Tribolium castaneum: one gene and its partner. The protein of the gene in region 2 binds, or shares a complex with, the protein of the main gene of each other region. Links are inferred from orthologs where the notes say so. Each region holds a gene or a part of one and is shown on either strand. Other genes may lie near its edges.

Evidence for each region.
Region 1: CSN7 (region 2) and CSN8 share a complex: the UniProt entries of both Drosophila melanogaster proteins name them as parts of the CSN complex. The link is inferred for Tribolium castaneum from reciprocal best matches to the Drosophila melanogaster genes CSN7 and CSN8.

Annotation. Positions count from the first base shown.
Region 1 is NC_087398.1:6,313,479-6,316,361, reverse strand, and holds CSN8 (COP9 signalosome complex subunit 8), read right to left. Parts: upstream 1,553-2,883; 5' UTR 1,426-1,552; coding exon 1,369-1,425; intron 1,302-1,368; coding exon 1,231-1,301; intron 1,182-1,230; coding exon 1,000-1,181; intron 948-999; coding exon 697-947; 3' UTR 642-696; downstream 1-641. Other genes in the region: RabGGTa (geranylgeranyl transferase type-2 subunit alpha), read right to left, coding at 31-266, 315-317; pcm (5'-3' exoribonuclease 1), read right to left, coding at 2,067-2,150, 2,197-2,469, 2,517-2,642, 2,689-2,883. UniProt on the Drosophila melanogaster protein: Probable component of the COP9 signalosome complex (CSN), a complex involved in various cellular and developmental processes.
Region 2 is NC_087395.1:497,626-502,129, reverse strand, and holds CSN7 (COP9 signalosome complex subunit 7b), read right to left. Parts: upstream 3,100-4,504; 5' UTR 3,003-3,099; coding exon 2,838-3,002; intron 2,790-2,837; coding exon 2,625-2,789; intron 707-2,624; coding exon 398-706; intron 342-397; coding exon 171-341; 3' UTR 64-170; downstream 1-63. Other genes in the region: IQ domain-containing protein E-like, read left to right, coding at 3,348-3,362, 3,410-3,571. UniProt on the Drosophila melanogaster protein: Component of the COP9 signalosome complex (CSN), a complex involved in various cellular and developmental processes.

The DNA of each region.
Region 1 (2,883 bases), on a different chromosome or scaffold from region 2:
AAACAGAATTTAAGACTTGAAATTAGTTACTTCTCCTTCAGTTCCATTAAAGTTGCTTCTTTACGGTAATTCCACAAAGTGTAAATGTCGGGATTCACACTCAAGAGCTGGCCACTTAAAAGCAACGACGCCGGATCATAATTCTCCTTATTTCTCGTCGACAAGATCTGCTTCATTCCCATGCGATAAGCTACCAGTTTCTTCTGCTGCTCTTTCTGCTTTTGCAGCTTCTGTTCTTCGCTAGTGCGAACTTTGATCCTTCCATGCTGGAAAGGAATCGATTAGCAGTGCCTTTGGACGACCGAATGCTTTACCATTTTTGCGTTAAATTGGAAAATAAAATAAAAAATAAATTTTGGCCACCCAATGACACAAACGTCAAGCGTTTTTAACCTCAAATCCCAGGCGAGTTGTCAAATTGACAGGCTATTTGGCGGTTTTTATGAATTTTGTTCATTTCGTTTCGCTCGATTGAGGCCCCCATGGTGAAGCTGGAGCCATTTAGTCGCGTGTGAAAACTGACTGCGTGTAGGGCGACGCCTGTGGATTATTTTATATCTGAAGGTGTCACCCGTTATTTTAGGAAATTGTTTGGCATTACACCAAGTGGTTCTGCATTGTGTCAATTAAATGAGAAGGAATTTACTGAAATATTTATATTAGCTTACAATTAACTTATAAAAACAAAAATACAATTCAATTTTCGAGAAATGATACAAAATCTGTCAGTTTATACAATTGATCTTCACTACTTGTCTGGCCAGAAGTTTGTGGGGTTGGTCTAACGGGGTGAACCATCCTAGTGTCGGCTTCCACTTGCCAGCCCCTCTCCACACAAGCCGTTGCACAAATGTCTGGGGGCAAGCCCGTCATTGCAGAAACAGTGTCTAATGTTATTGAAGAATACGCTTGTGCTATTAAATCTACTGATCTATTTCTCACTCTGTCTGTAAAACGCAATCATTAGTGGTGTTTAGAGTGATCCAATTAGCAAGAAACCTTGAACTTGTTTCATAATATTCGCCACACCGTCGGACCATGTTACCGCGTTCAGAGCCTTGTAAATCCCCGGGAAGTCCCTCTTCCACATATGCTGGGCCACGGCCCAGATGTTGTTTAGCTCAGGAGTGGACGACTTCACCGAAGCCGGGATGCGTTTCCATAAATATTTTGCATTGCATCTACAACTAGCCTTAGCGGCAATACCGAACCAAAACCGGCGATACTTACAAGTCGTTTTCGTATAAATATATAGCTAGGAGTTGTTCGTAAACTTGAGGTGATGCTATACCGTTCTGTGCCTGAAAAAACGCCAAATTTGTAAAAAATTGGAAGTTTGAGGTTATATCTCTCGATGATGACTCTTACTTCTAACTCTTGCTTCTCTAAGTCTTCTGCTAATTTTTCAATGTTACTAGAAACCATTTTGTGAGGAGTTCTTTATAATTTGGTTTTAACAAATGTCTCGTTTTAAAATCATACACATTTTTTATTTACGAGTGCGAACAACCAACTGACCAAAACCCGACTGCGCCGGAAATGCACGAACGCTGCCGACGCCCGCGAAAAACGTCGCCATTTTTTTTAATTTCAAAAAATTCACAAAAGATCTAATGCCTAATTAGGTAATCACGTTTTCATCGAATTAATTTGAATAATAAAGCCCGAGTTTGTGTTTTATGAATTTATAAAATATCAAACACCACCCACTGTCGTTTCATTCCATGATGATAACCGGTCAATGTAAACCGCCCTTTATATGGACAAAAAATTAAAAAAGTTAAAATTCAAATATATTAATTAAAATAGCAATCTATCAATGTGTTCGTTAAATTTTTGACCACATTTTTGCTTGGTATCAGCAGCACAAAGGTAATGAAAGTCCACAGGCAAAGAAGGATGTGTATATTTACAGCATGAAAGCGTATATACACTCAAAAACCACATGTTTTGTTCAAGTTTTGTCCATAAATATTTCTTTAAAAAGGAATAGTTCAATCAACCTAAAGTGGAGGAAATTAAGACGGAACAAAATGTATTTTAATTCAGTCCATTAGTTCTTAAAATTACTGATTGAATCTAGCTGCAATTCTAGTTTTCCTCTGCTTTGCTGATTTATCCCGCCGGTCATTTCGCTCCAACTCACATGCCTGTAACAAGTCAGTCAACTTAAATTATCCCCATTGCAAGTTTCACCTTCGAGATTCCAGCGTTTTGGCTGTTACTTGAAACATCAGTTTTTTCTTGTTTTTTCCGCGGTGAATTTTCATTAACATTCTTATTCCCAGTGTTAAGATTCTTATTCCCATGAGTTTGCTTCTTTTTTAACGCTTGAAGCGGCACGAAATTGTGTGCTTTCGCACTCGTGTGCGGATTTCGACTAAAATTAGACTCGGGGTCCCTTCTACTGTAGTCCGTTTGGTGCGGGGGCGGCATTCTCTGATGCTGACTATGTCCACCCTGTTTGAACTTAAAATAAAAGATTTCGGCGTTTCTTTGACGATTTAGAGTGGTACCTGGTACGACTTATTCACAAAAACTTGGGATGGCATTTTGTTTTGTTGTTGGCGGTCTTGGACCCACTTGGTTGGGGGCACGGGAAATTCGGACGGAAGGCCCGTTTTTGCTGGCTTAGAACTCTTCTAGGAACATACTTTTAGTTTTATTATTTTTACGTAAAAATCTTACATTTTTTAGCATGTTTAAGGCATCTAGCGCCACATTTTCACTCGCTTCTTCCCGAGATTTTGCGGTTTTTCCCGATATGGATTTACCGCTAGGTAGAACAACTTGTGCAGCATATCCGTTGTTTTGTTCGAGGTAAAAATACCTCGGACAACCCCAAGCGTTTGACTGATAATAGCTTAATAAATTAGCGGTAGC
Region 2 (4,504 bases):
AAAACGAACCCAAACTCATTATTATTACAAAGGATTTTGGATGGGTTATCTATATTAAACTGCTAGAATTTCACAGAGATTTTATTTTGTACCAAAGGTACAAACAATAATTAAATAACACTTACGATCTCATTAAAATTGTTACATGTTAATATATTAGAAAAAAATTATTAAGATTTAAGCCAAAACTTACTGCTATGCCTTATACCTTTGATTTTAGTTGACTTTTTTCCTTTTTCGCTAATTGCTGCAGCTTCCCTGTTATCAGTAGCCATAGCCTCGTCAGTTCCATCAGAGCGTTCTTGTAATTGAGTTTTCAGAGTCTTTTTAATGTTACTAATCTACAAAAAAAATGCATATCTAAAACAAAGTAATGATACAAACTCGAAAAAAATACCTCTTGCTCCACTTCAGCTTTTCTCAACATTGATTTATTTTTTTCATTATTTGCTCTATGTATTTGTGTTTCAACACAAGCCAAAACACCTTCACAGGCCGAACACCAGTCTTGGAGACAATTCACAATTACATTAATGTCTTCAGGACGAATATCACGACCTATGGCATAATCAACCTCCAATTGACTATTTTTCTGGTCCAATTTTCCATGAATAATGTCAGCGTAAATCGCCTCAATTATTAAGTCCTCCAAATCACGAACATTTGTTATGCCTAGCTCTTCCAGAAGGGTGTTGTACGGAATACACTAAAAAAACATTGTTTTTATTATTACTTGCTCTAAGAAAAATCAATCAAATTTTGTTAAATTAGTAGATAGGCTGATTCTTTTAGAGCCTACATTAGAAACTTTAACTTCTAACATAGCTAGAGGTATGATTTGTTGAAAATGATGATTAAAAAATGATTATAAAACAGTTTTTCAAATGGAATTACCCAGTTTTTTAAATAGCAATCAAAAGAACATCAATTTTTATGCATACTTTTAATAACATCTTCTATATATCTATTTCTTACAGTATTTGAAATAATCGCAAAAAACAGAATTTTAGCTCATTATTTTCATTTTTAATCAAGTAAACTTTTGAAAAATACGATAAAATTGTACTGTTAACAAAAAGAAATGTCCTATTTATTTACCATTTTCATTCAAGAAGTTCAAGGATCAATGGCAAACTGACTGAGTTACTTTACATAATTCACTAACTTATAATAAACTATAATTAAATGTGATTATTTTACTGATTATTCGATAATGAAACAGCTAAAAACTAAATAAAAAATTGAAGTTTGATAATTGTTGACCATTTTGCAAGGTATACTTGATTAACTATGAAAACTACCAAGTAAAATCCGTTTTTTGTGATTTTTTTCAAAAACTGTAAGAGATTGGTATAGGACGTATTGATAAAAGTCACCATAAATATCGATATTCTTTCCATTGCCGTTAAGAAAATAGAGTCGTTCTATTAAAAAAAAGTTGTAGAGAAAAATGCAATGCAACTTTTTTACAAAGTTAAAAAATAGTACAATTTTGAACTGAATAGTTTTTGTGCAAAAATGCTTGAAAATGACGTAAATTTGTCGATAGTTTAATTATTTTTGACAAAAAATAAAAAAAAATTGCAGACTTTTTAGAAGATTTATTATAAAGTACGGTAAAAATTTCTAGTTTTTGGATCAAAAAGAAGCTTAAAATGTTTTTAATTTTTTTGTTTTCACTTTCAAAAAAATCACTCGTATTAGATACTGATAAATTCATTGTAGTAACAAAAACCGAGCAGAAAAGTTTGATTATCGCTAGGCAAAAATGGTTAAAAAATCTTTTTTTAATTTTTTTATATTTGTTTTTTTTGTTAACTTGAACATGTAACATGGTACAAATTTATGTCCCTTTTATGAATTTTAGGAATATACTCGATTATCTTTAGATTGTTATAGTAGTCAAAACAATGTACTGGGTGGCCGTTTTTTCAGCTCCACCATGGGAATCTCAGTTATTATACGAGATACGAGGTGGTTAAAATTTGGGTTTTAATTTTTTTCGAGTGAAAACCAAAAGAACTAGACGTTTTTAACTAGAACGTTCTTTAGGTACATTTTTACAAGAAATCTAAATCTGTCGTCCCATTTTCCAAGGCGTTCTTGATGTCAGTGTTACAACACTAAATTTTGTTTTTTCTTATGGAAGCCATATTTGCTTTTTGTATTTTTGAAGTGTTTTCATTTCCGATTACATCTATGTATCACATGATATAATCGAATCTTAAATGCTCATCAAAATGGAGAAAAAAGCATTTTTACAAAGAGTGCTTTGGAAAGAACGCCAACAATTTTTTTGTTTTTAAACAAACTAGATTAAACAAAATCATTAAGAGCTGATGACATTTTTATGCCGAAACATTCGCAAATTGCAATAACTTGTATTTTTTTTAATAAAAAATGATAGCCAAAAGCTGCATTAACATGCTTTTTTTGGATACCATGTGCTAACTGCTATTAAAACCATTGATAAATTTTAATACAATAATGTGCTCCGCCATCTACACAACACTATCGAAACTATCGAGAACGAGGACTTTTTATTTGTAGGTCGTGTCGTTTCCTAATCTATAGTTATCCATATTAAAAACTTAATTTCACTAAAGTGGAATTACTTTAACTACCTTTGATTTGGTGGCCAACGTAACAATGGTTAAATGTTGAAGCTTTTTCTTCTGAGCTGGGCTTAATTCAATTAAATCCTTCTTATTTGCTAGATAATCCTTGTAGGTTCCGTAAGCAAACAAGTTGAGAGTGTTGTAGAAATTTTTCTGTGGTGTATTACTCAACTACAAAACACTTAGTTAATGTATAAATGTAAAAATATGTTTGATTACCTCTTCAATGTTTTGCATGTGAAGTAATTCACCAAAAACGTAAACACCGGGGGCTTCCAACACTTGCTTGATCAGTTCGGAACAAGCAGCCCCTTTTGTTGACTTTGACAATAAAACAAATTGTTCCAAGGCATTGCCAGGGAAAGGATTTTTTTCAATAACCATTTTTTTAGTTTTTATTAGTTAATTTGTTGTTTTTGAAGCACTTTTTAAACACAACAACCGATCAGCTGTCACACGCTGCTGTCAAATGTCAAAGAAACATAATTGCGCCTGCGCAGCTTTTGACATAAAGCGGTAAATTTAAATTTGTTTAAAATTTAACAACATTGATTAAAGAAAGTAAGAAATAGTAGAAAATAGATACAATAGTTTTAATTATATAATATTTTTAACCCGGCTATATTTATGTTTGTGTTTGCTGCAATCCGTTGCTAATTACATTGTAAAATTTGTTTGATCAATACTTAAATTACAAACAAAACAAACGTAACTTCGTCTTCGGCTACAATGTTTCGAAATGAGGTAATAAAATATTTATACTTTAGTTTATTTATACTTTGTATTATTAGTTACAAGATGATGGAGATTTGCGGACTGAAATTTTTCATCTGAAGAAAAATTTATCCAACATTAGCACCGAAAATCGTATGCTAAAGGTGAAAATACGCAAATTGCAGAATGAAATTATTAAAAAGGATAAACAAATTGATGCTATATTGGATCCAAAAAAGGTAAAAAACTCTATTAAAAGTTTCAAGTTTTTAAACAATTTTAGTGTTTCGCTTTCTTTCGGAGAATTTGTTCTTTTATTTCTTTTAAGTTTTTCACAAAACATCATTGACACTATTTGTTTGTAATTTTATCCTTATATGACAATAAATAAATGATTTTCTTAGTAATTGAAGGTAAAACAATTAAATTTAGCTGTTATTATTAGGTTTATGTATAAAAAGTTTTGCTAAAATTACAACAAATTGGCGTCTATAAAACTTGTACAAATTTATTCAAATAAGTATAGTCAAATAAGGCAACAAATAAATCATACCGATAAATTAAATAGTAAATAAAAACCGAGCTTTAAAATTTAACCATCCTTAGGTAAGAAATGTCAAAGATTCCTTATTTTTATTTTTTTAATTCTCGGAGCCAAAAAAAACAGTTATATTAAATATACTAATAAATTAATTGAAGTAACAAAAGCCCAGCTTAAAAATTGTAAAAAATTCCACATAATTATTTTTTACTTTTGTTTTAATTTTGCTGTCTTACAGATAACTAATTGTGGTTATAAAAAACGAACGTTAAAATTATTTTTTTTTGGCAATAATTGTTAAAAATTCTTATTTAATTTTTTATTTTGATTTTCTTTTTAATTTTCGGTATCTAAAAAAGACGATCAATTGGAACAAAAACTAAGCTTAAAAAAGTATAATTATATAAGATATAAAAACTGTTAAGAATTCTTTATTTTTATTCTTTCTTTTTTATTTTTAGGATCAAAAAAGATAAGTCTTACTAATAAATTAATTGTAGTAATAAAATCACACTTAAAAATTTTATTGTCTTAAGGAAAGAAGTTTTAAAAATTTCTATTTTTATTTTACTTATTTTTTTTTCGTCAAAAAAATCTATTTTACTGATAAATTCATTGTAGTAACAAAAAT